Linked DNA regions of Rhinolophus ferrumequinum. The protein of the gene in region 3 interacts with the protein of the main gene of each other region in a biochemical or structural test. Links are inferred from orthologs where the notes say so. Each region holds a gene or a part of one and is shown on either strand. Other genes may lie near its edges. The genes, in order: LCP2, SOS1, PLCG1 and LAT.

Region 1 (7,873 bases), on a different chromosome or scaffold from region 3:
CAAGTTCACTGGCATCTTTATCAGACGTATCTCTGATTTTGCAGCGTGCCAACTTCAACTCTAAATAGACAGATAGCCTGGCAGACTGGAACTTGCCTGGAAGTTCGTTGTGATTCACGGCCTGGGGGGTAGCGTCTATATTTTTAGCAAATACTTTGATGATTCTTATGAGCACCCAGCTTTGGTTGGCACTGGTCTAGAGCAGGTACCTCGGGTTGTAGAAGAGCCAACTGGGGCCCAGAGAGGGGAAGGGACTGGCCCCAAGTCACACAGTGAGTTGGGGACACAGCTGGGGGTAGAAGCCATGGCTCTGAGCCAGTGCCTTCTCCACTGCATAGCCTAGGAAAGCTGTCCTGCTAAGCCAAAGGGGATAGGAGGGCTTAAAGGAATATAAAACATGACTTCAGTCCTCAGGGGCTCACATTCCAGACACAAGATGAGCTAACGTATCTGAGATAGTAAGACACAAAGACCTGCCAGTCTGCCTGGGCACCCCAGCGAGGGTCCAGTGAACAGAGCAGGACAAAGGGAAGATTGAACATGAATTGCCCCCCTCTCTCTGCTGAATGCCTCACACCCACTATTTCCTTTAATTCCCCCAACAATCCCACGAGGTTAGTTACTATCACTATTTAACCGATGAGGAAGCTGAGGCACAGAGATGTCGAGTAACTAAAGGAAGGTCACCACACTAGCAGGTGGCAGAGCCAGGAGTGAAACTAAGATGTGTCTGACTCCAGAGCTGGCTGGGGAGGTGTCTCCAAGGAAGGCCTGACCCCACTGCTTCCTTAGAAACTGGACTTGACAATCAATCCTGTAACTAGGGCATCGGGTGGCTAGGGTCCATCCCCAAGTGATCCGTTCGTGCTGGTTCAATCGGTACGTTCTCTCTGAGGACTCAGGTGCTCAGGATTTGGAGGGTGTCTCTCTGAGTCCTGGAGGCTGGGACTTCCCAGATCACAGATGCACCTCCGTTTCCTTCTTCCTCTCCCCTGTTCTTTTATGCTGAGAGCAGTAACCTGTCCTGGTGCTACAAATTTGTCCCAGAGTCTGGGATTTCCAAGAAGAAAGCTCTCTCTCAGGCAGAGGCCATGCTCCCTGAATCATCCCTAACCCATAGTTCATCTCCCTGTGCCAAGGGGGACATTCGTTACCCAGGGATTCGCTTGTTGGACTGGGTTGTGCCATTCTCCTTCTCACATTGGAGATGGGGACTGTCTGTGCCTCTCAGTCTGTCCCCGGGTTTCCCTCCCTAATTCTTCTCTTCTTTCTTTATTGAGTTAACGTGCCCCTTGACAGCATTTTGGCAAATTTCACCTTGTGCCTTAGTTTATTTGATCTACATTTAAGATAAGTATGTAGAGACATCCTTCAAAAGTCAGTTGTTCAATCTTAACACCCACCATGTCAAAAGTTTATTATGACCTTTGAGAGGGAATAAGAACAGAAATGAGATGCACACAAAGCAGCCAATAACAGGCTCTGTCGGCTGTCCCTCTATCATGTCATTCAACATTTTCATACTTTTCTTCTTTAGCTTGGGGAAGAATAGTTGTGATAGTCAATTTCTTGGTACCCTATAGACCCCAGGTTTGGCTCGGTGTCCTAAGGAGAGTATTCCACCCCCAGAAAAAAACAGAAAGTTGAGTTAGATCTCTAAGCCTTGACTTTAACGTCTCCTCTTTATGACAGTCTGGAGTGTCAACTGAATTTACTGCCAGCCTTCAGGGATGGGGGTGTGAGAGAATCAAGTGTCCCTCACAGACTCTGTATCCCTTGGACAGGGACACAGGGTCCCTTACTGAGTCATGTAGCTTGGGATCTGCCCAAACAGATATATAAACTGTGGTCCCAGCAGCAGATGACCGAGCACAGGGATCCTTGAGCATCTCCACATCCGGAAGGCAGGACGGCAACATTCTGGCCTCAGCTCTGCCACAAGCTTAGCCTCTGACCCTGCCTGGCTAAGCCTCTTCCTCTGTAGGGAGCTCAGTTCCCCTGGCTATAACCTGGGCTCCTATCGGTTTTCTGACCTGCTTCACAAGACTCTCATAAAGCTTCAACGAGCCTCTGTCCCATATAAGGGCTTGAGACCCCGCTTTCAGGGTCATGAGCACTGACTGCCCAGCTGCCACCTCCCGCATTGCTCATCAGAGCCTTCTTCATCCCTCCTACCCTGCCTTTTCTTTCTCCTGCCTCCTGGACTCCATTTCTCCCTTTCTAGTAAGTAGCCTTGATCTCACGAGTAGTTCTAGCAATTCTGCAGCTCAGAGCATAGACTTTGAAACCAGACAGGCGTGACTGGAATCCTGCCTCAGTCACATGTAGTCCCTGGGGCTTTGGGCCATTTAACCTCACTGAGCTGATTTTGCAGCTGAGTCAAAGGAACAACAACACTGGAGAGTATTAAATGGGACAGAGCCTCGAGAGCACACACTCAAGCCCTGGCACATACTAGCTGCACATTCATTCGAGGGCCTCCCTTCTCCGCAGCTCTCACTACCACGAACGCTCAGGGGTGTAGGTGTATCTACATGGCACTCGCACAACTGGGGAGGTTGCTGCGAGGTTGGAAGTTCCATTGCTATCTTTTCCGCCTCTCCTGTGCGGCCTGGACTCCATCTTCAAGCCTCTGTCCAGCCCACCGAGGACATTGCCAGTCCCGCCACCAACAAAGAGCAAGGCTCACCTTCCTGAAATAGTCGGCGAGGCTCTCGGCATCCCAGGCCAGGACCTCTGAGCGGAAGGGCACATTCCGCAACGCCATGGCTGCTCTCCCAGGAGGAAGCTCAAAAGCTGAGTGTGGGCGCTGCACCCATGGACAGAGAACTTCAAATCGAGGGTGTGGAGGTGTCCTTGGCTCTTCCAATTCCCAGTTACTCTTTGGAACAGCCTCGTTGGAGCAAACGTCTTTTCTGCTGTAACCAGATCCCAGAAAGCAACGTCTTCCTCCGCGAACAAATATGGTCTCTTCTCAGAAAACGACTCAGCAAGTTTCCTTTACCACTTCCTCTGCTGGGCTCTAAATAAGTAAACAAGGAAGCTCAGCTCTGGGGACTGGAGAGACAGAGAGAGCGACAGGGTTGGTGATACCCTGCTGGTCCCAGCCACCCCAGCCGGGTGGGAGGGGTGACGAAGGGGACGTAGACTCTCCCGTGAGTCCAAGTAGGCTTCCATTAGAACTCTTGGCACCCATGTGTCCACACCACATTCCTGCTTGGCTGCGCCTTTGCTGATGAAAACCTATTTTGACAGTTGACCTAAAATATAGACAATTTCCCACATCAGTGCACTGCTGGGGGAGGAACATGGCCTTTTCATGCTTGCTAACCACCCCTCAGTCTCTCTCAAAGGGATAAAGTTGAGGTTCCTTCAGCTACCTCCTTAGAGGTCCTAGGAGAGGATTCTTCATGAGTGAGCTGGGTGGGCACCCAGGGCTGAGAGAGGGGCTGTGCCGGGCAGAACTGGGTGTAATTTCTGATATGAAGTCTCTGCCGTGTGCCAGCTTAGGCAAGGACGTATGATCTAGGACTCTCACTGAGTCAAGGGGAATTTCCAGATCTGTTAAAGAGGAAAACAGAAGGATTACTTCAAATGTACATAAAACGTAGATGCATTTAACTAGACAAACTTAAAGAAAAAGAATTAAAAGAAAAAAACAATAATTGCTATTGATGCTGCCATATATTCTGTTCACTGTTGTTTCCACCATACATTCTATCCAGAGCACATTTCCTGGCGTGGCCCTGAGACAGGAGATGGGCACCTGCTGTTTCCTCAGTCGGTTTCAGACTCCGTGTACTCCTCATAGTCTAAATGCCTTGTTAGCAGAGGTTGACTACAGTGGCTAAAAGCAGATGTATTTATGAGGTCTGACAATTATGTTTGTGAACTCGTCCTAGAAAAAGTGCTACGTACCTCATTACTGAACATCATTACAGTCACCTTCAAAGTACTCCCCTTGGGAAGCTATGCAACGATGCCAGCGCCTAGTCCACCTTTCAAAGCAATTTTGGAACTCTTTTTCTGGAATGGCCATCAGAGCTGTTGTGGTATTATCCTTGATGTTCTGAATGTCATCAAAATGTCTTCCTTTCAATATTTCCTTTACCTTTGGGTAGAAAAAGAAGTCATTGGGGGCCAGTTCAGGTGAGTAGGGAGGGTGTTCCAATAGTTATTTGTTTACTGGCTCAAAACTCCCTCACAGACAGTGCTGTGTGAGCTGGTGCATTGTCGTGATGCAAGAGCCATGAATTGTTGGCAAAAAGTTCAGCTCATTTTCATCTAACTTTTTCACGCAGCCTTTTCAGCACTTCCAACTAGTAAACTTGGTTAACTGTTTGTCCAGTTGGTACACATTTATAATGAATAATCCCTCCGATATCAAAAAGGTTAGCAACAAGTTCGTGAACTTAATTGTCAGACCTCGTAGGCACCATTGCCGCCTCTGAAGACAAGTTCACTGTTTCATCTCGTACTCCAGGCACGTACACATAGACGGCCATGGCTCTGATGCTTGAGGAAAGAACCCAGCTCTGTTGCATTTATTGAGTGATGCTGCATTGGTCCTGAGGTGGTGCCTTCCTGAGCTTTTTCGAGGGTAGCTTTGGCCATGTACCATGTCTGCCATTGTATGCATCAGCCTGTCGTTGCGAGTGTCAGTGAGATTGGCATTTCATCCCAGGCTGGGCTCCTTTACGGAGGTGGTCCATAAACTTAGCTGGTGTCATGCTCCCCCCCAGGGCACTAGGGGGGTCAGTGGAGGCAGCCCAGGCTGAGAACTCCTCACAGGGCCTGGACCTAAGCACGCTCTCTCATAACTGGCCATGCTCCACATGGCATGGGCCTACTCTTCAAAAGCCCGCCACTGCTGGGAGAGGTCACTTCACTTTCCAGTCACTAGAAGAGCAGCGAACAATAAAACACCATTTGAAAAAAAGGGAGACAGATAAATCACTTCCAAGTAGAATGATCAAAGAAGATGTCATGGAATTAGCTGTAATTTAAGCAAGGGGAAGATGGAGGGCATTCTGGACACACGCATGCACGTGCGCGTGTGTGTGTGTAATATGTTGGAGTGTACTTCATTAGCAAACAGAACACACCACACCTGTGGAAAGGAACATTCAAGATCATCCTGAAAAGTAGAAACAAAATTTTTAATGACATTCATTCCCATTGCCTACAGAAAAGCAGGCGTTAGAATTAAGGAATCGCTAAATATGAGGCTTTGAGGGAAGAATTATCCAGTACACACGGAGCCCATTTAGAAGAAAGACACAGCAGTTAAGAAACCTGGTGACAGCGATGACGACATGATCAGAATCATGGCAGATGCAACACATGGAGCCCTGCGTGTGCTCCAGGGAGGGACTGAGAACTGTTCACTAATTATCTCATTTCACTGTTGGCGCCATTGTGACTCCTACTTTACAGAAGGAAAAACTGAGGCTCAGAGAGGTGAAGCAACGTGCCCCCTTGCACCCGGCATGTGGGTTGTGCAGTTGGGTCTCGCCTGGACTCTCTCTGAGTTCAGAGCCCCTGTCCTTTACCTCTCTGTCACCTCAGGCTCTGAGATGTTACATAAATCGCCCAAGCTGGAGTAGGCATTCAAACCCAGCTGTGTCTCCAGAGCCTGTGCAATTTCCACTCTATCCGTCTGCCTTCCGCGAAGAGCCAGTGAGGCTGGCAGTCTGGACAAGTTAAGAAGACGATGCAGCCCTTTCCAGGAGGCAGGGCTTTGGTGACCCCGCCCCACAGGATCACAGGCCTGTTCCTCAGAAAAGGGCAGCTGTGCAGGCGAGAGCAGTTGACGCAAGGGGAAGCTGGTTGCCTGAGACCTGGAGCCTTTCCTCTTCCCCAGTCCTCGGTGATTTCCCAACGCTCACAAGTTTCACATTGCCTGTCTCTGCCTGTCTGGAGGGTTCTAGAAGCTCCTGTTGCAGGGCCAGTTAGCCCTGGGGAAGAGAGGGTCAGGACGCCAGGAGGACCAGGTAACCCTGTGCAGGCCAGCTCCTTGGCTCAGTCTCAGGCTCTATAACACGGGCAGTGACAATAGCAGCCTCTGGGTACAGCCCACAGCCGGGGGGAGGCTGCCGCAATGACGGTCAGGCCAACTTCCCACCGACCCCCTAGCGAGCATTGGTCTTGGCTTCGAGCATGAAGCAGAGTGGGAAACAGGTAAGAGGCAGAGATGTGAAGCCATGGCTCGGGTAGGACCCTCTCCCAGCACTCCCTCATGAAGGAGCAAATTGAAAGGTTAACAGAGGCCTTCTTAGGCTTTGTAATCTTTACCTCAAGGTTAGGAAGGGGTCAACTAGTCTCTGAACACAGTAAGGACTGCCTCATGGGAGTACCAGGAATGGGGTCACGGGATAGGAATCTGAAACGTGTATCCAACAGAGCCTGTGGACAAGAAAGGAACACTTGCAGGGAGTGATACGTCAGATTTTTCAATCTTAGGGACCAAAAGTGGATGTAGGAGCAGCACACTGCAACCTAGAGGGAGGTCACCCCGATATCCTCCCTGCCCCACCCCACCCCATCCAGACTTGAAGCTCCCTCCCTTTCCAGCTAACCCACAGCAGAGTAGGGGGGGAGATAACTGCCTTTTTCACAGCTAAATTTAGGGGTGAGAAAAAATAAGCAGGTCATTAACGGGGACTTGGGAGTCTCAGCCTCTGTGCGTGAGGGCGGAGGAAGGAATTGTTGCTTAGGGACCAGGAGAGAATGGAAAGTAGGGATTTTGGAGCGGAGAATGTGTTGGCCTTCTTAGGAGAGGTACCTAAGGAGTTAGCGGATGGGTGGGATGATGCGCTAGTTTGTATTTAATTTAGAAGGAGGGTGTTGGCTGGGGGAAGGAGAAGAGGTGGTAGAAAGTGGCCCAGAGAGGGTGCCATCCCTCATACGGGTTCATCCCAGCCTCACCTCCACCAACTTTTAATGGCTCGATGTATCACCTGAGGCTGAGGTGAACTGCTGTTGGTACTTTCTCTAGGGCCTGTGTGGGTTTGCTTGCAGAAGGAACGAGAACTGTAGCGGTCACCTTCACAGGGAGGGAATATTTTCCCCTCAGTTCTCTAAGGCTGGCAGTGGAAGCCCCTTCTGTGTGGACTCCTTTTGGATGGCAAATGGCTCAACCACACAGAAGGGTCAAGCGAGGAGAGCCAGGATGGGGTCCTAACTGTTCCCTTGGGCAGGGCAGCTTCACACACCTGGCAGCCATACACTGAGGCACAGAATTTAGTGACCCTGCCTCCGAATGGGTGTGCCAGGAGGGACAGGCCTGCCAAAGAGCATCCCCAGATGTGCAGGAGCCGTTCTCACCAGTACTGGTGGAGGCCACGGGGTGGGCAGTGGGGGAGGGGCGCTTGCAAGCCACACTGCGCTCTGTCCTGACCACTGCTCAGACCCTCCTCCCAGCCCAGACTGGACACCTCCCCCTTCCTGGGACATGCATGAGGAAAGCATGAACCAGACGCTGCATGCAAGGTGATGAGGAGCAATATTTTCCACTTCCTCAGAGCTGACAATTTCATTCTTTTAAAAAAAAAATACATATTTTTTCATCCTCTGTCTTCATCTTTCTCTGCTGTTTTAGCGGAGATACCTCAGAAGTTCAAAGGTGGGCGGGAGGAAGTGCTTATTTGGACTTCCTGTCAAGCTTCCCTTCCTTGTCTGCCCTATTTTTGATTTGGGCAGCCTATCCCCAGATAGCTGTGCTCAAAGGGAAATTCCCTAAGAGCCTGCAAGGGTGTGGGCAGGGGTCAGGAGAGGGAAATGCAGGCTTCTCAGGAAAGAGGAAAGAGGAAAACACCTTACCCCCTGCCCTTCCAGCAAGATGGAGAAGGGCAGATTGGGGGGAGGGGCAGGC
Region 2 (7,183 bases), on a different chromosome or scaffold from region 3:
TATCCTTTCCCCACTCATCTGCAACGCCTGTTGTCATAAATCAAGTTTCTATATATTTGGCTCTTTATTGATCTATTGATTTGTTTGTCTGATACCACATTGTTTAATTACTCTAGCTATGTAATAAGTCTTCATATCTGGTAAGTCAAGTTCCCTTACCTTGTTCTTTTACAGAAGAACTAGGTTTTTTTTTTTGCTCTTCCATATATATTTTAGACCAGTTTATCAAGTTCCATGACAAACCATTGGTAATTTGATTAAAGTTGCATAGGATTTGTGTGCAGTTAGTTTGAGGGGCCGTTACAGCTTGAATCAACTGAACTTTTGCAAAAAACGACTCTGTAGGGATCCTGGAAAAAAGTGCTAGGAATAATCCCATATATCTTGGAGAGCTTTTTAATCATTTCTTCTAACTGTACTTACCTTGCTCCCCACCATCGAGAGGAGAGAGAGAGAGACAGAGACAGAGACAGAGAGAGAGAGACAGAGAGAGACAGAGACAGAGACAGAGAGAGAGACAGGAAGAGGGAGAGAGGGAGGGAATCAAAGTGTTAACTAAAGGTGATAAGAGGTTGTATTCAATGGTTTTATCACCACTACTTTCTCTGGCGTACTGTCTATGTACATACTATTTGGAGAAGTGGAATTGAAAGCAGGAATTTGAGAAGAAAGTGTGAGAAGCATGAAGGGAGGATATGCTGCTTGAAGAGAAAGGACCTTAACTTTGCTGATGGCTGAAACGGCTGTTTCTATGCTTGTTGTGCTCTGAAGTTTAAGGGGTAGGAATCCTAAATGGGAGATGAGAAAGACTTCAGAGAGAAGGTGGCATTTGAGCTGGAGCGACAGCGTGGATGAGTTCCACGATGAGCGTGTACATGGGTGGTGGGTTGAAGCTGTGGCGGGTGGGATTGAAGAAAAATGGTTATGGGCATTCCAGGCAGACGGAACAGGATAGACAGGAAGGAGAGACAGAAATGATGGGTTTGTAGGAGGCAACAGTAGTTCATTTTAAGTGAGAGATATTGCAGGAAAGATAAGTAGTGGCCCGATTGTGCAAGACCGTGAATGCCAAGCCAAGGACTTTAGACTTTATCCCTGGATGGCAGTGGAGGCTCTTGAATAGGAGAGTAACTGGCTCTGAAATTTGCTTCAGAAAGGTAATTGTGACTGCGTCCCACTGCGGCGCTGGGAAAGGAGCTGAGTGCTGCACTCCCACCTGCAGGGGGCGCGCCGCCTGGCGCAACGCCCTCCCCCGCCCCCTTCCCTGCTGCTCGGGCTTCGACGCGACGCGCTCGGAACTCGTCTTATCCCTCCTGGACACGCCCCCTCGGGCCTCGGCTAGGCCGCCTGGGCCCGCGCCCTGCGTCACGTCCGCTTTGATTCAGGGCCTGTTAGGGCCGAGGGGCGCGAAGAGCACCTTTGCGCCTGCGCCGGGCCGCAGTCGGTGGCTCTTGCTGACCGGCCTCCAAGGCTTTGCGCCTGCATTAGCATGTTCACGGTTATCTTCTGTCACTGCACACTCATAGATGTTTTGATTTGTCCCAAGAGATATAGGCAAACAGCGCAGAGGGGCTCGATCGCTCCCTAACCTTAGCGGCGCCGAGCCCAGCACCGCATCCCTTAGGCTCTCAGCTGAGAGGTGCTGAGTCGCTTCTCTGCAATATTCCTTCAGCTGCTTGCTCTCAATCTGCGGCCCAAACGTTCATACTAGTGAAAACCTGCCCCGGCCGCCCCAGCACAGGCTGTAATCCATGTTTCTAGGCATGTTTTACCTCTGCAATCATAGCAGAGACTCGGAGTTGAAGGGGACCTTGCAGGTCATCAAGTGCAACCTCTTAACCCTCCCCTATGTCCCGAGCGAGTGAATGTATGGTTTTTACTTGCACCCCCAAAGATCGTCCGTTTCCTAGGACAACTCTGATTAGGTAACCTTCCTGGAAGTTTCCTACATTCAACTTTCATTCCTTCAAAATTATTTATTGAGCACCAACTGTGAGTCAAGTACTGTAGGTTCTGGGGATACAATGAGGAACTAGAGTGAAACAAACGATTGTTGATCTCTTGGAGTTTACATTCTATTCTAGTTGGGATAGATCAACAACTGAAAATAATTAAAGGCTGTGATTTATGTTAGCAAAGAAATAAACAAGGCTTATGGTAGAAACATAGGTGGGAACTGCTCAGCATTATTAGACAAGGCCTCTTGGAGGTGCTGACATTTATAACCAGCCAAGCGAACAGTTAGGAGCAGAATAAGTTCCAAGCCGAGAAAAGAGCAAAGCCCTTGAGGCAGGAAAGAGGTTGCTGTTTTCTAGGAAGACAGAAGACCAGTGTGGCCAGAGGGGAGGCAAGGTTGAGAATGCAAACAGGAACCAGACGCAGGCTTTATGGGCCACGGTAAGAAGTTGGAAGAGAACAATGGGAAACCAAAGAATAACGTGGGGCAGAGATTTGATCTTAGTTCAGCTGTTTAGAACCACACAAACCATATCACATATCCTATGTTTTTCCATATCAGTCCTTTAGATATTTGAGCATGGCTGATATGTTTTCCTTTCTTGCCCCCAACACCTCTGGAAGCTATGGTTCTACTTCATTTTATCCAGAAGATTTATGAATGACTTTCAAAACGTCACTCTGAACACTGAAAATGTGGAGAATTTTTCATGTAAATCAGGTGTGTACATTTTTAAAGGAAAGGACCTAAGGCTTTTATGAGATTCTCAAAACCACCACTTAAACATTTCTCATCTCTGTGGTCCTGATTATTGTTCTCTGGAGTAGCAGGGTACAATGTCAACTTCAACCCAGGCTAGTTCTCTAAGTGGTCTTCTCACCTGTGAAATGAAAACTAGAAATGCTATGAGGATTAAATGAGATTATGTTAAAAAAGTGTTTAATGGTAGGCCATAACGCGCCAGCCACACCCGTTCCACTATTATAAACAAACACCTGCATCCCTGGGATGGAGGGACAATTTATAGGTAAAGCTCCTTCAGCACTCCAAACATTCACGAAGTGCCTATTCTGTATAGAGCCCCTGGTGAAAAAAGATCTGCCTTCCAGGGGTCTGGTATCTCGCTGAAAGACCCAGGAGAGATAAACGAAATGTCCACCGTGAAGTGTTGTGGGATCTGGGAGCTGCAGACAAGTCTTTAATTTCCACTGGAGTTAAGCGGTCATCGGAGTTCATATTTGAAATGGGTTTGAAATATGAAAATATTGAATTTTATTTGAAGTGGGTTTGAAAGATGAACATATTGAATTTTAAACACACAGAAAATCAGTATTACACATAAACATTTTATTCTTGATGTGCAAAGGCCGACTGGAAACACTGCGATCACTTCTATTATCTGACAAATACCAAACAGCAGGTATCGTGAGAACGCACCTATCTTTTGTCCAGTCTGTTTACTATACATTGCCTGCTCTGGGCAGTCCTTATCTTCATGTTCGGGAACAAAGTACACACATACACACCCCTTTCCGAAAAGAGAAAGGCAGACTCCAAGAGAGGGGTGGGATCCCTCGTGGCCCAACCACACAATGGGGGCCACTTCACCGTAGCTCGCCCCCTGTCCCTCCGGACCCCCCACACCCCCGCCCCACAAGCCCCACTGTAGCCGGGGTTCGACTTCTCCGGTCCCTATCGCTCCTCCCTTGCAGCTCCAGGGATGCAGTTACAGCCCCTCCGGGCGCCCTCCCTCTCTCGAGCTTCCCTCCTCCTTCGCTGGGGAGCCGGAAAACCCGGAGCGAACTGGCCCCGTCCGGCGGCGCATGCTCAGTAGCGAGCAGGTTCAGTTCGCTAGTAGGAAGCCCCAGCGCTACACCCGCGTCGGCGGCGGCCGCGGCGGCACCTCAGGGCAGCCAGATTCCCCAACAACGACCTCGGGCCTCTCCCCTCCCCCGCTAGACCCCGGCCCCAGCTCCGCCCCGCCCGGGGTCGCTCGCGTTTGGCGGTCTCCGCTGCGCTGAGCGGTCGCCGCGGCCGGAGCGCCCCTCCACACGCCCTCCCCCAGCCGCCGGCTCCGCCGCGGGGCCAGGCCGGGCCCAGGAGCGCAGCCCCGGCAGGCGGGCGGGCGGCGGCCTCGGCAGAGGGCAGCCCGGGGCGGCGCCGGCGGGCCGGGGAGGGGTGGGGGGGCCCGGCCCCTGGGCGGTGGTGCGGGATGCCGCCGCCACCGCCTCTGGGCTGCGTTCGCTCTCTGCGGCGGGTGCCCGTGTCGGGTGGGTGGCCGGCCGCGGGCCTCGCCCCCCAGCCCTCTCTCCAAGGCTAGCCCGGCCGCGCGGCGCCCCGAGGGGGCCGGGCCGTCCGGTGGGGCCGCGGCCCTGCTCCGCGCTGCGAGCTCGCCCTCTCGCGGCTCCCGGCCCGGCCGCCGCCGCCCCCTCCCAGTGCAGGGCGCCCCGGGGGCACCATGCAGGCGCAGCAGCTGCCGTACGAGTTTTTCAGCGAGGAGAACGCGCCCAAGTGGCGGGGGCTGCTGGTGCCTGCGCTGAAAAAGGTGAGGAGCGCAGGGGACCCCGCTTCCCGGCTGCAGCCCCTGCGAGGGCGCCGGGCCCGGCTGGGCAAGGCTTGGGGAGGCGGGGCGCGCGCGGGGCCGTCTTTCTTCCCGGTCTCACTGCCTCCCAGAAAGGACGGCACACACTGAGGTTCCCCCGCAGTCGCTGGCTGTCGGTGTTGACATTCACTCCGTGTGTGAGAAGGCCGCAGGAAAGCGGGGAGCGTTTGTCCAAATCATCCAGTCCCTGACAGCTTAAGGTCCTGCCCCTGATTCTCTCACCAGAGTTGGAGCAGCCTCAGGTCTCAGCGGAGGTCAAAGCAGGCCACTTTTCCGGCTTCTTGGTCTTACCCAGACCCGCTGTCAGCCTCCGGTTTTAGGTGTCCAGTCTGCCCGTTTCAGTGGGCTCGATATGCTCTGGCCATAATGCTTGCTCTAAGTAATTGCAGCGCTCGCCTGCCAGCAGGAATATGGCCTGCTTTGCTCGCCCTCTGTAATCACTCTTCATTCCCCCGAATTCCTCCATTCCTCCCATTAACAGGCGCGGGTGTGCAAGCCACTCTTTTTTCTTTTCTTTTTCTTTCTTTCCAAAATCTGAGAATTTTGGCACTATCATTCGGTTTGTGGATCAGAAATTTTAAACTTCCTGTGTTTCTTCAAGTTTGCCACATTGTTACCTAACGTTATATACCCCACGACTTGTACTTTTTAAATGTTTTAGTGTAATTAGGAAATGTTGCTACATTTTAAAAGCTTCTAAAGCAACATTGTGACTTAAATACATTAAAACATCAGGAACTGGTGTGCTTGAATGAACCTTAGAAACAACCAGAGTATTTTTTTGTTTTCCTTTTACTTTTTCTATAAATATAGAAATTGCTTTCTCTTTTAATAGTGTTTCTAAATCCCAGTTTCTTGTTGCTCAAAGAATGATTCTTGTTATCTGGTGAAAATATTTTTACTCCTACTGAGAGTTCAGATTATGGGTGTACCTTTTGTTCTAAGCATTTATCCTTTTAAAAACTGTCTCTTGAAAGGTGTCTGATATTTCTCAAAGGCCAGCAACTTTTACTTTCCCTTTTGCCCTGTTCTCCCTTTTCCCCTCTTGGTATCTTACAGTGGAAACTATTTGGTTTGTTAGCAGAATTTGCTCATATATTTCAGATCTAAGTTAATGACCTTTTTCCTTAGATATCTGACTAGCCACACACATCTCTGTGATACTGTTTTAAAGAAAACCAAAAACAGATGCTATTTGCCTTATATTCATTAGGCTTTATTCATTAGAAATCTCTTCAGGCTCTCACTGTATTTCCTTTTGCTTTACCTACATGCTACATCTTAGCTTGTAATAGAAGGTGAGTAGGAGGTCTCAGTGATGCCAGACCTGATTGGTATCCTGACCGAGGTGGAGAGGAGACAGAAAAATTGTTAAAAAAAAAATACAAAAAACCTCCTAAAACACTATCAATTTGGGGCTATTTTGTTTGGAAGCAAGCAACGCCTGTCCCAGGGGAACCATCAAGATACTCTTATCAATTGAGGGGACTATGAAGCAGTAAAAAGAGCAGGAGTTGGCAGACCAGGTCCAACTCTGCCACACTGGTGGCCCTTGCTAAAATCTGTCCACAGAAGCATTTGGTTTGGCTGGCACCGTGTTGTTTTAATTTTAATGTAATTAGTTGCCAATGTTTAAAAATGGGAGATATTACATAAAATCAGAATTTTGAGCTTTTCTTGAAGAGTAGCTCTCCCCTCATGGGCCCGCTTTCCAGCAAGGCAGTAAAGTGCTGCAGCTGCCCTCTTTAGACAGCATGTAGTATTTTCAGTTTACCACAGCTCTCCACCAGACCTCTGCTTATTTACCTAAACCAGCTTTGACTTTAAGCAGAAATGCCCTTGTATGACAGAAGTGATGGGAGGAGGTGGAAGGATACACAATCTAGTTGATAGGTGAGGTTCTTCCAGTTCTTTTTTTAATTATTAGTTTCAGGTGTACAAAACAATGTACTAGTTAGATATTTACACCCCTCACAAAGTGATAACCCCGTCCCCCCAATCTACTACCTCTCTGACATCGTATACAGCTATTACAATACCATTGACTCTATTCCCTATGCTGTACTCCACATCCCGTGGCAATATATGTATACATATACTTAATTATAGTTGACATTCAATACTATTTAACTTCAGCTTCAGGTGTGTAGCATGTTCTTCCAATTCTTATTTAAAATATCTACTATTGATGATTCTAAGCCACCTAAAACAAGGTTAAAAATATATTTCATATCTGGACATGCTTTGGGTGGCTCAAAACCTGCGTTTTCATCTACCTGCTGCTGTGTTTCCCCAAAAAGAAGACCTAGCCGGACCATCAGCTCTAATGCATCTTTTGGAGCAAAAATTAATATCAATATTACATAAGAACCGGTCTCATATTATAGTAAAATAAGTCCGGGTCTTATATTAATTTTTGCTCCAAAAGACGCATTAGAGCTGGTGGTCTGGCTAGGTCTTCTTTTTGGGGAAACACAGTAGACATTTAATTTGGATATCTCCGTATCTTGAACTCCTCCTTTAGACTTATTGCACTATTTGCCGATGTGCCCAACTTGTGTTATCTTACCTGAAGCTCTGTGGAGATCCTGTTATTTTCACCTGGACTGCCCTTTGCCTGGCCT
Region 3 (7,724 bases):
TATTTCAGTCAAGCAAGTGTCCATATGAGAAACTTCTTGTATAATTTATCCCCAGGAAAATTTTTCTCCCCTATGTTGTCAGTTATCAGAGTAGTTTTTGCTTTGGCTACCAGGAAGCTCAGCTACATTTGATGTTAACCCATATTAACCATATTATATTCCTTCTTTTATCATTGTATGTCCCATTTCTATATTACAGTATTTTTGTCCTTTGTTTTAAGTACCCTAAACTTTTTTTATAAAAGCTATTTTATTTTCATTAATTAATTAATTAATTTATTTTAAGGAGGGCACAGCTCACAGTGGCCCATGTGAGGATGGAACCAGCAACCTTGGTGTTACTAGCACCACGCTCTAACCAACTGAGCTAACCGGCCTAAACTTTTTTCAACGGATTGAAAAGAATACATTTGTGGTAAGCGTAGTGATGTGCCATCCAGGTTCCCCTTTAAGAAAGCACTTGTTGCCCCACTGCTGGGAAAGCTGTCAGTCCCCCAAGGTCACCTCAGCTGTGGAAAGCCATCTGGCCAAGGCTTGCTTTTCCCAGGACAGTCCACATCCAGTGGCTGATTGACGTGGGCTCCCTGGGGATTGGCCTGTGTCACAGCTTAACTTCCCTCTGTACCTCCTCCTGTTTCCGTCCTCTCCCTTCCAAGGGCACTCCCTAAGAACACATTCTGCACACTAACCTCTGTCAGAGTCTGCTTCCAAAACACCCCCAACCTTTGACAACATTAACCAAATAACTAAAAATAGAAAACATTAAGTAGGGGTATTATGGAAAGGGGTGAGGATACACAATAAAACGTTCATACCTGCATGAGAGGCAACATAGCATTGACTCTGGAGCCAGGGTGCTGAGGTTTGAATCCATCGCTGCTACCTCTTAGCTATATGTCCATGACCATGTCTTAATCTCTTCATGCCTCAGTTTTTCTCCTGTAAAATGGGGATAAGAACAATACTTTGGGCCAGTCCGGTGGCTCAGGTTGTTGGAGCTCTGTACTCCTAATACCTAGGTCGCTGGTTCGATTCCCACAAGGGCCGATTCCCAGCTGCGCCCTCTACAGCTAACATTGTGAATAACAGCTCTCCCTGGAGCTGGACTGCCATGAGCAGCCAGAGGTTGGCAGGAGCTGCTGCGGGCTGCTGTGTGCTGCCGTGGGCTACTGTGTGCTGCCGCAGGCTGCTGTGTGCTGCCAGGAGTGGCCGGTGGCCAGCATGAGTGGCCGGCAGCCATCATGAGCGGCCAGTAGCCATCATGAGCGGCCGGCAACCAGCGCGGGCTGTCATGAGCTGCTGTGAGGAGCCGACCCACGACCGGCAACCGACTGCCTCAGCCCTGGGGGAGCTCATAATACCAGCATGGGCCAGGGAGCTGCATCCTACACAACTAGACTGAGAAACAATGGCTTGAACCGGAGTTGGAGGGTAGGTGGAAGAAGGGGGAAAAGAAAAAAAGAACATACTTTCAGTGCTGTAATGAATAAATGAGCCTATGTGAGTAAAGCAGTTATGTAGGACTTACTTTATGCTAAGTGCTGTTCTAAGTGTTTGGTAAATAAACACCTGTGACGTCAGGCCCACAGGACCGGAGGGGCAACTGGGCTGGGACTCCTCCCCAGACTCCAGGCACAAGTATTAGGGTAGACCGGGCATGTGGAAGCATGAGTGTTGCTAGAAATAGGCCCAGGCAAGACTAGCCTGGGTGATGTCACAGACATGTGCCTTGTGTGGGTGCTGGGCTGCTCCCTCCTAGCCAGTGCAGCTGTACGCATTGCCAGTGACACCCACATACCCATATATATGCTGAGATGGGGGAAGCCCATCCCAGTCACGCCCTCTGTGTGCCCTGCTTTTCCTGAACATCCTTTGGTGGAGGGAGGCACCTGAGTCCTGGGATGCTGGCTCAGAAATCCCAGGAGGAAATGGGGCCCTGTTTCCTAATGAAGGGCCTGGCAGCAGACTGAAAATATGAGCTCGTGTTGGCAAGGATTTCTGGAGCTCCTGGGGGCCCAGCCTGAGAATCAAAAACGCAAGCAAAAGCAAGGAAGCATGGGCTGCATGTTGGGAAGCTCTCAGAAAATAGCAAAACAGATTTTAAAAGTGCATCACAGCCCGCAGGCTGCCCAAGTTGGCACAAGAAGCTCAAGGAAGGCTATAGGAGTTGGGAGGGGCCCTCCTAGAAAAATGGACAAGATCAGAAAGGCAGGGAGGAGCCCCATTCAGGCCCCACCGGTCTTCCTGGCCTCATTACCCCACATGTTCCACTGCACTAGATAAACGCTAGCCTTCTTTCTATTCCTAAACTCGCGAAGCTCTTTCCAGCCTCAGGGCCTTTGTACGTGCTGTTACCTCTGTCTGGAAAGCACTTTCCTTTCCTTCAACCCACCCTTAATAATTCACCTGGCCATCTACTCACATCCTTTAGGCCTCTGTTGAGTCTTAAAGAGGTCTTCCTTGTCTACTAGATCTGAAGTAGGGCTCTCTAATGTTTTATCTCATAGCCCTCAGTTCTTTCCCTCTGTAGACCTCATCACAATTGTGCCTACATAAGAGAGTGTTTATCTGTTTAATGTCTGTGAATTCTTGGAGGGCCGGTGCAGGGTTTCTCTTGTTCTTCCAAACCATGGCACCAATGCCTAGCACAGGGAAGCTCAGGAGCTGTAGACAGAGGCAGCACCATTTTAAGCCCAAGCCACACTTTATGAGCGTTTGTGTTTTCTGAGTTCCCTGTGCTCAGGGCCACGCATGCCCAAGTCTTCCCCTCACCCATCCCAATTAGCCTCCATGCCCACTGACTGTTGTCCTACTTAAGGCAGTGGCTCTCTTGTGAGGCAGAAAATGCATGGAGTCAGACAGACTTGGGTTCAAATCCCCACTTTTTAGTTTTGTGACCTTGGGGCAAGTTATAGAACTTCTCTGAATCTGAGTTTCCTCGTAAGTAAATTAGGGAAAATAATCCCTGATTAGAAGGTAATTATGAGGATCAGGTGTGACCACATATGTAAGCATTGTATCTCTGGGCAAGTCATTAGATCAACTTTAGTTCCCTTCCATTTTAAAAGCCTGTCACTAGGTGGCAGTCCATCTCAGCCACTCCACCTCCGCTCAGGTGGCTGAAGCCTCCTAGGACAGGCGACTCAACTTCAGGCTGAATTCTCAGCTTCTTAGGGGCTGCACTTGAGAGGGAATCAAAACACACACAAAACACACACCACTACCGCAAGAGGCAGCCCCAGACACTAGTCACCACCCAGCTGGGTGGGTTGCCTGAGCACAAATTCCAGGAAGCCTGGATCTGTCTCTGGCATCAGCTGGGTGCTCCACTGGGCCTCTCACCTCTGAATTGCAGTAAGTTGCCCTGCTCTGCCTTGCTCGATATCTGTCTGACCGGTTCCACTGTGACCACAGGTGTCTTCGGTGTTGGCGGTTCTTTGTGACAGGCAGCTAGATTGCAGGGATGAGTCTAGAGAATGGCTTCAGGAAGGCAAAAGAGTGTGCATTATTCACATACCGGCATATCTCAGAGATATTACAGGTTCAGTTCCAGATCACCATAATAAAGCTCGTATTGTGATAAAGGGAGCTGTAATCTTTTTGCAAGTGGGGGGTCTTGCCTTCAGTTTGTTAAAGACAACACCTGTGAAGCCCAACAAATGAGGCACACTAAAACAGTCAGCCTGTAACCACAAAAAGGCTTTGTGGCTGGAGAATGGGGCGTGAAGGGGAGGTGGTGAGAGATGAAGTAGAAGAGAAAGGGGCCAGACCATACGGGACCTGTTGGGCCAGGTAGGGAGTGTGGATTTTATGTGCAATGGAAAATCATGGAGGCTTTGAGGCTGGAGGTAGGGGACCATGATGTAATTTAATTTTAAAGATTAAAGCATGGAGAATAGATGCAGGCAAGAGCAAGGAGGGTAAATAGTCTGAGTGAGAAAAGATGGGCCTTGGGCTTGTGGATGGAGTGGCGATATCTGAGGGCAGAGTGAACTGGATCTGATGGATTACTGTGTGTGTGGGATTGAGGCAGAGAGGAATCAAGAATATCTCCAAGGGTTTTGGCCCAAGCACCTTAGCATTTAGTGCCATGTTCTGAGAAAGTGAAGACGGTGGGAAGAGCAGTTTGAGGAAGAAGTGAAATGCCTGTGTTAAGTGTGGACGCGGAGTATGGAGAGAGTATGGACGGGATGCAGGAGAGAGACAGATTTGACGTTGCGGGTGCCTGGGTTGGGGGTGACAGGTCGCCTTGGGAACTGGCTCAGGACCCAGCAGAGAGGAAGAGAAGCTTCTGAGGCCTAAAGGCAGCAGCCAGAGAGGGAGGAGGGAAACAAGAGGAGTCGGGCTGTGAAAACCAAAGCTCAGGAGAGCATTTACAGGAGGGTCACCATGAGGTAGGACCTGAGACCACCTCCTGCCTTGTGGACACGGAGTGTGAGCTGAGGTGACAGAGACAAAGGCCACTGGGAGCTGTAGGTCTAAAGGCCCTGCAGGAGATGCTCAGATCTGGTGGGCTTCTCCAAGTTACAGGGCCCTCGAAGGCTACACTGGCCGCAGGAGCAGGACAGAGGTGGGTCTGCGGCCTGCGGGCCAGCCCTGCGCGGCCAGAGAGGAGGGGCGGGCTAGATCGTCTGTCCATCAGAGACCGCAGGCCAATCCGCAGACGGCCCCGCCCCCGCCCCTCCCCGGAGAGGGCGCGCAGAAGACCCGCCGCCGCCGCCGGTGTGAGGCGGCCCGGCCTGGCTCCCTCCGCCGGGCAGCCCGCCCAGGTAACTGGGTTTGGCTGGCGGGCCCGAGGGACGCTCCGCGCCCTCACCTCCCTACCCGGTTGCTGCGCGGGCGGTGCTCGGGGAGTAGGGGTGAGGAAAAAGCTACGACTGGGCCTGAGCGGGACAGTGGGCTGGGCGGCCGCCTGTGCGTGTGCGACTCACTGCGGGGCCGCCGAGCGGCTACCGCGCGTGACGGGGTCGACTGTGGCCACGCAGCTGTGTACGGGGTCGCGTGAGGAAGCTCTGCGGGACGGAGGAGTGGGGGCTTGACCGCGAGCGGCACGCGCGCTCCCGCCGCCATTGCGCCCCCGCCCGGGGCCTCGCCGGGGGTCGCGGGGCGCAGGCGCGGAGGGCGGCAGGCGGGGGTCCTCCCCACGGGCGCGCGGGCGTCTTTGTTCCCGGCGCGCGGACCGGGGCGGGGCCTGCAGGGCCGCCCCGCCCCCCGCTCAGGCCCCGCCCCGCCCCGTCTCCGCCCGCAGGAGCCGCCGCCGGGGCCCGCTCGCCGGCAGCCTCAGCCGCCGCCGCTGCCGCCTGCTCCCACCAGCCGGGCCTGCATCGCTGTCGTAGCCTCTACCGCCCCCAGGACCGGAGCCATGGCAGGCGCTGCGTCCCCCTGCGCCAATGGCTGCGGGCCCGGCGCGCCCTCGGACGCCGAGGTGCTGCACCTTTGCCGCAGCCTCGAGGTGGGCACCGTCATGACTTTGTTCTACTCCAAGAAGTCGCAGCGGCCGGAGCGGAAGACCTTCCAGGTCAAGCTGGAGACTCGGCAGATCACGTGGAGCCGCGGCGCCGACAAGATCGAGGGGGCCAGTAAGTGCGACCCCTCCCCGGGGCCCGCTGCGCGCGCGGGGGCGGCAGAGATCCGCGCCCGCCTCCCGCGCGCCCGCGGCCGCCGAGCGACTTGGACAAACTTTCCGTCCCTCCCCACACCCTCCGGACCCCGCCCCCGCCTCGGTCCCGGTGGTCACCAGGGGCGGGGGGCATCCGGGTCCTCAGTCACCTGACAGGACACCCCCTCCCCCAGCTGGGGGGAGTGTTCTGGCGCTTTGCCCAGAGGCCTAAAAATTCTAGTGAGTTGGAGACCAGCGGGGCAGGCATCGGGTCTCCCACACACCGGGAGTGGTGTCCACAGAGGCGAGGGGAGGCAAGGCGGCGCCCCCCATCCAGCCCCTGAACCTGGGGTGAGACCAGATGGTCGCCGCTCACCACCTTTTCTCCAAAAAGAGCAGTCTTGGTGAAACTCTTTGGGCCCCTAGGCTGGGCTTTTATTTGCAAAAGAACCTTTGGGTTCTTTGAGTAGAACTTAGGCAGATGTTGGAGTAGGGCTGGTTTTGGAGCCGAGCCGGGCCTACTCATCTCCCTCTTGGGGAGGAGGAAGGTGGTCTTGTTTGGTTTGGAAAAGCCTGAGAGAAGGCAGTGGCTGCTTTTTCCTACTGCTGCTTTTGTCCTGAAGCTGAATATTGGAGGTCTGTGTGGGTGAGCAGACACCCAAAGCCAGGGCAGGGACTCTTGGTAAAGATCCAGGCTCCCCTTTCCCTTGGAAGCTCAGTCTCAACTACTTGACCCCAGAAAGGCCAGCCTCAGTGCCTTGGAGTCAGATACTCTTTTCATGAGCGGGCAGCCAGTTTGGGGTCTAGCCCTTTATGTCCTGTGGCTGTAGGGAGCCAGGAGCTACTACTCTTGATTTCTTACCTTTGTGCTCTCCCGGGCCTGAGCATGGCAGCTTTTGTGCAGGTCTGAGTTGGGAGGAGGGAGTTGGGGATTTTTAAAAAAACCCAGATCTCTCAGTGTTATTCCACTTAGCACATGCCTGTGCTGTGGCCGGATGGGCACCCAGCTCTGCCCTGCGTTCCCCCCCCCCCCCCCCCCCCCCCCCCCCCCGCCTCCAAGTGTGAGAGATGATGTGTCACAACCCCAGGCTGTGGGTTGCTTCCTGCAAGGACCGCCCCCCCCACCCCCTCCAGAGACAGGTGTCAGAGCCAGGCTCAGAACTCGGTCCATGTATAGGAGGGTGGTCGGGAACTGACACCCCCAAGGGAAGGTCCTACAGACTTCCTTGAACATGCTGTATATGCATGTAGATGGGTGAGGAGATTGGGAGGAAGGAAGGCCTTGTGGTAAGGCAGCCATCCTCAACTGCAAACTCCAGATCTGACACAGCTGCTGACCTTAGAAATGGCAGCTGTCTTCCTCCATCTCCATGCCCCCATTGGCCCTGTCAGCCATTGCGAGAAAATGTTAGTGATTTGAGAGACTGGATTTCAAAGTGGAGGAAGTACAGACACTGCAGAAAGCTGAGATAGTCTTGGGAACGTCACCCACATATCAGAGTCCAGACACAGCCCCTCTCTTGCTTCTGTGGTGATCCCTATGCTGTGCCTAAATGGGGTCCCTGGCTGGAGGTTCCCAGATAGAGAGCTCCTGGGTAACAACAGGCTGCATTTCAAACCACGCATGTAACCAGCAGGTAATAAGTGCAGCCCAGGGGTTGAAGGCAAGGCTCGATTTGAGGCCTGTATATTAGTTGTGTGTCCCCAGTCAGTTCCTTATCTTCTCCTGTCCTTACTTTTCATCTGTAAAGTAGGAATAATAACATATCCGCTATATGTGGTTGCTCAGGGGAGTAAATGAGAAAATTGATGTGAAAACATCTAGCACAGTGCCTGACACATGATCAATGCTTAGTAAATGTGAGCTGTTGTTAATAATGACAATAACAGATTATGACTGCCCTGCTAGACCCTGGACTGTGAATATTGTGCAGGGGGAGTGTGGGTGTAGGAGAGTCTGAGAGTGCAGGAAGGGAGGAGGATGGCAACTGAGTTCACATTTCACTTAGATCACTACCCGGAAAAGGGTAGGAAAGGGGGTTTTTTTGCCCCAACCCATCTACCTACCCACCCACCTACCATGTAGAATAGTGTGTAGAGTAAATATATGGAGATTTGCACATCT
Region 4 (6,929 bases), on a different chromosome or scaffold from region 3:
TGAGGACTAAAGCAGTGAATATGAAGTGTTAAGTATTAAGCAGTAAGTGCTACCAAGCCTCTGTTAAATAAATAAACCCTACCGCCATCCAGAGGGGACAACCAAGGTACAGGAGGGGAAGGCCCAGGCTCAACAGCTCCTGGGAATTGAGGTTTAATATGCTAATACACGTAAAACTCTTAGTAGGGCATGGATTAGGCTCTCAATAATATCAGTTCTTTTATCATGACTCTGCCTCCTTGGCTCTTCTATGAGAGGTACCCAGTAAACACCACGAATGAATGAGTGAATGAATGAACGGAAATACTTGGACAAAGGGTCTGGAGCTCAGGAAAAGAGGCGACAAGTTGAGAATCTGGATGGCAAATGAAGCCAGGGTGTAGAAGTGAGGGGCACGTATATAGAGAGAGGAGAGTAACAGACACTGAAGAAAGCTTTTCACAGGCAGGATGAGACCAAAACGAAGGAAGAAAAACAGCTCAAAGGAAACAGACAATGCAGGAAGCAGAAAAGTTCCAAAACAACAAAAACAACAAAGACAGCCTATAATCAATTCCCTTCGAGATTTACAAGATGACTTTGCCCCCCCACCCCCATGAAACAAGAACAGGAAGCTATGAAAAAGGAACATTTGGGGATCGACAAAGAGTTTTCAGAGCCGCGACACAAAATAAAAAAAGAGAGTCAAGGAATAGCCCTGAAAGAAGAATAAAGTCAAGGAAATCTCGCAGACAATAAAAGGAAAACAAAAAAAGCCAGAGCGATAGGAAAGAGGAGAGAACAGGTAGGAAAATCAGAAGATTGGAGCAGGAAGTGCTCTCTCTGAAGGATGGCAATTGTATAGAGAGAAGAGAGAACGCAGAGGGGTCCAAGCTCCAAAGAAACAACCGGAGAGGAGAGCGTGGAGGGGCTGGCACCGAGAGGTGGGGGGCGGTCACAGTGGGACTCACTGGAGAAGGCGCTGTCTCGGAGGCCGGGGTTGCTGGGCACCGGAGCTGCTGGGACAGCGGTGCCAGTGGCCGGGGCCGTATCAGGAAGCACCTCCCTGAGGGGAAGTCAAGGGGCGAGTGAGCAAAGACCGGGGCTCGGCCCCCTCCCCCCTCCTGACCACTCACAAGTAGCCCTCGTTGTGATAATCTTCCTCGTCCTCGTCTTCATCGTCATCCTCACAGACGGGCTCTGTGGTAATGACACAGAGGTCAGCAGAGCCTGGGGCAGGCCCCCCGCCCCCAGCCAGGGCACCGAGGGTCCCTGACGCACCCTCGTTTTCATAGCTTGCCACACTGTTGGCTGCAGAGAGAGGGAGCGAGAGGGAGACTGAGTCAGCTGAGGCAGGGCCTCTCGTGTGCCCAGCCCCAGGCCCTGGGCCCCGCTCCACACGTACCGCCATCTGAGTCCTGCCGGGAAGATGGCATGCGGTGGGAACCCCCTGGGGGCTGTGGGGATCTCCTGGGAGTCAAAAGTAAGAGGTCATGCCTAGGTTGGGGCTCTGGGGCAACGGGGTTTGCAAAAGAGAAGGGGTCCCAACCCAAGGAGCTGAGCGGTAGAGAGAGGGGGTTGAAGGAGAAGGGGCCACTTACGGGATGGGGAGTAGGTCTGGCTGGCTCAGGGGTGGATAGGACGTAACAGGTGGGTAAGAAGTGGCTGGTGGCCAGGGGGCGAGCGTGGCTGAGGACACAGGATCAAGCTGAAGGAATGACTCTGGACATCATGCCCCTCCCGCCGTCGAGGCCCCGAAGGGCACACTAACACCCTGAAATTTCTGTACCCCGGCCAGGTCTGGGGGCACCCATCTCCCTCCCCACCCCAGCTTAGGTCAGGCACACACTTGCTCACATGTCAGGGCACTCACACGCCAGGGCACTCTCTTCCCTACCCCAGAAGGAAGGGACCCTCCATGTACTCACGAGGCCGTTTGATCATGATGCTACTTGGGGTCAAACTGGCAGGAAAGACAGAGCTCGGTAAGGGGCCGGGAGAGGCCCCAGGCCCAGGCCCAGCCTGGCAGTGGGTGTTAGGGGCCAAGGGCAGACTCACCTATCCGACGGTACACTGTCATATGAGTCTGCGGAAGAGAGGGCCAGTGAGGCAGGAAGAGGGGGTGACTGGGGACGGGATGATGGAGTCTGGGGCTCTCCATGTCCATGTGCAGGACAGAGTTCGGGACACTTCACGATGGCGTGAGGGATCGGGCAGGGGGGCGAGGACCCCTGTGGGTCCCTCCGAGCCTCTGGTCCCCCTGCCAGCGCCCACTCACCTGGCAGTTCTCGGCAACGCACACAGAGTGCCATCAGCAGCACAGCCAAGAGAGGCAGCAGCAGGGGGCCCAGCACCAAGGAGAGCAGGACGGCCGCCTCCATCTGCAGGAGAGCTGGGACCAGGCCTGGCTGCTGGCCGAACGCCCTCCAGGGCAGAGCTCCAGCAGGGGCAGAGCTGAGCTAGCAGGGGTGCCGGGCCCAGCACACCCGGCTAGGAGCCTGATGAGGGGGCAGCCGCACCCTCCTCGAGGGCTCCCCGGATCCCCTTGCCTCACTGGGCTGAGTGGGGGTCAGCGCTGGCTCTGGAAGACCCTGGATCCCAGGGTGGTCAGGCCAGGGCCTAGGCTGGAGTCTGGGGCACCAGCCACTGGTGTGGACCCCGCGCCCAGGCCTACCTGCCCCCCGGCTCCGCGCCTGCCTCTCCTCCGCGCCTGCCCGCCTGCCTGCGGCAGGAAGCTGTGGTGAGCACCGGGTGAGGGCAGGAAATCATCGGGCTCCTCAGCCGGCTGCACCCACCCCCTTCCCACCCCCACCCAGCCAGTGGGGACTGGGGGGAGGAGACCTGAGGAGCCACCCCCAGGTCCTCAAAAAGGGGCTGCTGGCCTCCAGGACGTACCAGTGGGAGAGAATGAGACAGCTGCAGGCCAGCCACGGACGCAGCACGGAGGGAGGCTGGCACCGGGAATTCGGAGGGGCACGGGGCAGTGCCCACCCCATCGCCCGAGCCAGCCGGCCAAGGGGCGGGCTCTCGGGAAGCAGGGGCGTGACTCATAGTCACACGGAGCCAGCTCACGCCACCCTCCGGTTCACCAGCCCAGAAGCCCCACACAACTGACCCAACAGCCCCCCAGGGCTGGAGAGGGGGCATCCCATACAGTCCTGAGATAGGAGGTCACCAGCACCCACAGAGACTCAAGCAGGCAGTTGGGGACTGGCTACAAATTTTATTCAGTTACAAATAGCACCGAGCCCCTGGGGCTGCTCCAGGGGAGAGGTGTCCCCTCCTGGACTCACAACGCCCCCCCCTTGGCCATCCATGTAGTGTATGGGAGCGGGAACACGGCCCAGTGCCCCTCCTGGAAGCGGGGCCAAGTCGGGGGTTTGGGCCCGGGCACCTCCGGGGGTGGGCCCGAGGCCTGCTGTGTTTGGTGTGCAGGTAGGCGAGGGACAGCCCTTCAGATGAGCACGCTGGACACGGGGACCCGGGTGGAACGGCCTCGCTGGGGCACCACAATGCGGTCATCTTCCGGGCCTGCCTCGCGCAACAGACCTGGTGGGGGAGGGGTCAGAGCCAGGGTTGGCTGGACAGACAGACACAAAGCCACTGTGGGACAGACAGTGGGAAACGCCTGGGGCCCCGGAGCTGTGGGCACGGCGGGACGTCAGCCTGTGGGCCAGGCAGACCCGAAGCTGGATGAGGGGAGAGCTGGGGTGTGAGGTGCCAGGGACGTGGGCTAGGCCACAGATGGGCTGGCGGATGACCAAACAAGCAGGCAGAACTGTGACCTAGGGCAAGGGGAGGGGGGCCCGACTGACCCTGCACGTGCAGCTGGGCCTGCCGGCGGTCGCCCTCAATGAAGATGGCAGTGCCCAGGAAGGCGGCTCCGCCCAGGGCCCCCACGAAGGCGCAGAGCATGAGGGAGAACTGCAGGGCCCGGAACTCGGACAAGAAGGAAGGGGGCCAGCTCCGGCGGAGGCGGTCGGACATCTGTGGGGAGACGAGGAGGAAAGCCAGCAGGGTCACGGGGAGGGCAGCGGGAAGAGGGAGGCTCAAACTCCAGAGAATGAAAGGGGGACCTGGAACCTCCGGGGAGAGGACCCCGGCCGCCCTGTGGAAACCTGCAAAGACAAAATCCTTCCCGTCTAGCGGAGGACCCAAGGTGACGGCTGCCTGGCATGGAAGACCCGGATCCCTCACTGGGGCCAAACCTTCCGGTTCAGCCCAGGCTCAGGCCACTGACCACCGGCCGGTGCCAGGAAGGCAGGGTGCCCCAACCCCCACCAGGCCCAGTGAAGGAGCAGTGCTCACCAGGCCAATGAGGTAGGGGCTCCCAGCGTCCCCCAGCAGGTGGGACAGCACGATCTGGAAAGCCTCGGCCGTGGAGCGCCTCGTAGGGATGACCACGTACTGGGAGGAGGGCAGGAGACAGCAGGCAAGGAAGGGGTCAAGGCTCCGCCGAGGCTGAGGTCACAGGTGTGATGGGGGAGGGCAGGGCAGGCCGGGACTACAGGCCCACCTGAGGCTGGACTCAGAAGCCAGTGTGGGGCGGGGGCTCGCGGAACGGACAAAGGCCACAATTCAAGGCAAGTGAGGCCTCCACTCCCTGCACCCACCAGCATCGGGCCCAATGCTGGACCGGCCCACCTACTCACCAGTAGAATATCAGCCACGATGGCCCAGTTCATGGACAGCAGTGTCTCCCCAATAAAGATGAAAATCTGGGGGACCAGAGGGTGGTGTGGGGGAGCGGGGATGATCTCATCACAAGAAGAGCAAACACGTGGAGGCCCATCTACTAACCCGTTTAATCCTCACAATACCCCCATGAGACAGAGCTATTCTTCCCATTTACACATCATGAACCTGAGCACAGAGATGTTAAGTCACTCGGCCCACGCCACACAGCTGGGAAGGGCAAGAGCTGATTCAGAACCAGGCCCTCCTGCTCCAAGCTGGTTCTGAACCACGGGGCTGGCTGAGCCCAGTCCTGCCCCAGCGCCCCATTCCTCCACCCTGAACCCCCAACACCCCTCTGGACACCTGCTGGCTACTCACGTAAGTGGCTACGATGCTGCCGCGGGCACAGGCGACAGACAGGAAGAGGAAGGGTGCAGAGCCCAGGAGGCCGGCCGCGCAGACCAGTGGGTCAGCCCGGGGGTTGCAGCGGCGGAGGCGACGGCTGATCTCCACCCCCAGGGACACACCCAGGACCCCCGTCAGGCAGGTGATGAGCCCAAAGACGAGGCTGGGGGAGGCGGGGGCACACGGGCTAGTCCATCTGCCTGCAACGCCTCCCCGCCTCACCCCAACAGCCTGGAGAGGAGGATGGTCCACCCCGGTCGCCCACACAACCCAGGCACCGCAGCCCACAGGTCACCAAGCTCCCGCCAGCTGTTTCCCAACCAGGACGCTGAGAGGAAGTAGCGAGTGGAGCTGGGATTCAGACTCTCCCTGTCTGAGCCTGGATTGTCCTCTGTCCCCTCCATCTCCTGCCACCTGCAGGCCACCCAGCCCAGTCCCCAGCTGGGTACCTGTCAGAGGACGAGCAGGAGTCTCCAGGAAGGCAGGGTGGGGTCTCCCCCAAGACCACACGGGAACGCAGCAAGAATGCAGGAGCCCAAAGAGCCAGGGAGCCCGTGACAAAGGCCACAGCCGTGAAGCCAAGGGAAGACAGGATGAAACTGGGGCTGCACAGATCGTTGAAAGGGAGGATGTCAGAGTCCACCGAGGTGTCAGAGGAGGGGACTCCGTTCTCCCCTCCTGGTGTATTTTAGTCAGGTCAGGGCACTGGGGGTGGAGGCCGCCCTGGGTCCCAAGGTCTGGGCCTGTAGTTCCTGCAGCTGCCACAGGGGGCAGTAGTGACTGCATTCCTGGCCCCAGGGAGGGCCAGCTTGGGCTGCGATGGAATTAAACTCACTTTCTGGCCAGAGCTCTCAGGTCTGCCCACCACGAGGTTGGGTGCAGGGGTGGGGAGTCTGAGTGGCGCTCCACAGCTCCCCTCGGCGGCTCCCGTACCACCAGGAATAGCAGCAGTACAGCCACCACTCCCAGACCTGGTGTCACCTGGGGAAAGAGTGGGCTTCAGGCCGAGCACGGGCGGACACCCTCACCTGTGGGGCTGGGAGAAAGGGAGGGTGTGTAAAGGCACCTCAGGCCCCAAGACCTCACACACCTGGGCTAATGCTGGCTCAAGGAAGCTGGCCTGCACCTGGGGGGAGGAGCAATGGCCACTAGGGCCACCCCCACTTCTGCATGCTTAACTGCTCCCTCTTTGGTAACAGCACCCTGATTTTCTTCTGGGAAACCACTCCCCCCGCTTCTCTCAATCCATGTGGTTCAAACGGGGCTCGGAACCCAGACTTGTCCAGCCTCAGTGACCAATTCAGTGGCAGACACGTGACCCATGCTCATCTAACCGGATACTATCCAGGACTCCTACGCAAGGACCCAGGGTGCCTTAAGTCTCTAACTGAGGAGATAAACGTGTGGAGCTTTCTCTCACTCGAGAATGAAGTGAACACAGAGGAAAGGGGAGCTAAGACAAGGATTACCCAGTTCCTGTGACGGTGGGAGTCCTGGATCAAGCTGTACCTGAAGCTCACCCTGGGACTTTCCATTATGACAGCCAGCCCTGTCCTACGTGGGGGCTTACACTTTCACAATGCGTTTCTGTCACCTGCAGCCAAGAGCTCTGTCTGGCACATGGTTTTGTGGGAAGGGAAGCGAGGCTTTCCACAGGCTTGGCAGAGGAAACACTGTTTTGAAAAGAGGTGCCGAGAGGTACCTACCCCCAGGTGGAGAACAGACTCACCCTCAGAGCCCAGTGCCAATCTCCAGCCATGTCCTTCACTTTGGAGCCTGCGATATAACCCAGACCACTGGCGGGGAGGGGTGGGAAAAGAGAGGGGACAGCCGGTCAGTCCTGCCCAGTGCCAAGCTCTTCTGACTGC

The links.
Region 1: the proteins of PLCG1 (region 3) and LCP2 form a complex in vitro, tested with the Homo sapiens proteins (2 studies listed by BioGRID). The link is inferred for Rhinolophus ferrumequinum from reciprocal best matches to the Homo sapiens genes PLCG1 and LCP2.
Region 2: the proteins of PLCG1 (region 3) and SOS1 form a complex in vitro, tested with the Homo sapiens proteins (2 studies listed by BioGRID and IntAct, with this or other methods). The link is inferred for Rhinolophus ferrumequinum from reciprocal best matches to the Homo sapiens genes PLCG1 and SOS1.
Region 4: the proteins of PLCG1 (region 3) and LAT form a complex in vitro, tested with the Homo sapiens proteins (2 studies listed by BioGRID and IntAct, with this or other methods). The link is inferred for Rhinolophus ferrumequinum from reciprocal best matches to the Homo sapiens genes PLCG1 and LAT.

The regions. Positions count from the first base shown.
Region 1 is NC_046307.1:36,963,463-36,971,335, forward strand, and holds the start of LCP2 (lymphocyte cytosolic protein 2), read right to left. Parts: upstream 3,019-7,873; 5' UTR 2,768-3,018; coding exon 2,690-2,767; intron 1-2,689. UniProt on the Homo sapiens protein: Adapter protein primarily involved in signaling pathways within T-cells, as well as other immune cells such as platelets, mast cells, and natural killer (NK) cells.
Region 2 is NC_046296.1:44,779,838-44,787,020, forward strand, and holds the start of SOS1 (son of sevenless homolog 1), read left to right. Parts: upstream 1-4,180; 5' UTR 4,181-4,415; coding exon 4,416-4,502; intron 4,503-7,183.
Region 3 is NC_046306.1:15,662,959-15,670,682, reverse strand, and holds the start of PLCG1 (1-phosphatidylinositol 4,5-bisphosphate phosphodiesterase gamma-1), read left to right. Parts: upstream 1-4,723; 5' UTR 4,724-4,859; intron 4,860-5,248; 5' UTR 5,249-5,362; coding exon 5,363-5,579; intron 5,580-7,724. UniProt on the Homo sapiens protein: Mediates the production of the second messenger molecules diacylglycerol (DAG) and inositol 1,4,5-trisphosphate (IP3). Plays an important role in the regulation of intracellular signaling cascades.
Region 4 is NW_022680357.1:1,328,937-1,335,865, reverse strand, and holds the start of LAT (linker for activation of T-cells family member 1), read right to left. Parts: upstream 3,001-6,929; 5' UTR 2,875-3,000; intron 2,702-2,874; 5' UTR 2,361-2,701; coding exon 2,258-2,360; intron 2,066-2,257; coding exon 2,038-2,065; intron 1,943-2,037; coding exon 1,908-1,942; intron 1,669-1,907; coding exon 1,581-1,668; intron 1,450-1,580; coding exon 1,385-1,449; intron 1,291-1,384; coding exon 1,116-1,290; intron 1,046-1,115; coding exon 951-1,045; intron 1-950. Other genes in the region: SPNS1 (protein spinster homolog 1), read right to left, coding at 3,434-3,528, 3,795-3,966, 4,288-4,386, 4,632-4,697, 5,035-5,224, 5,511-5,666, 5,897-6,042, 6,791-6,857. UniProt on the Homo sapiens protein: Required for TCR (T-cell antigen receptor)- and pre-TCR-mediated signaling, both in mature T-cells and during their development.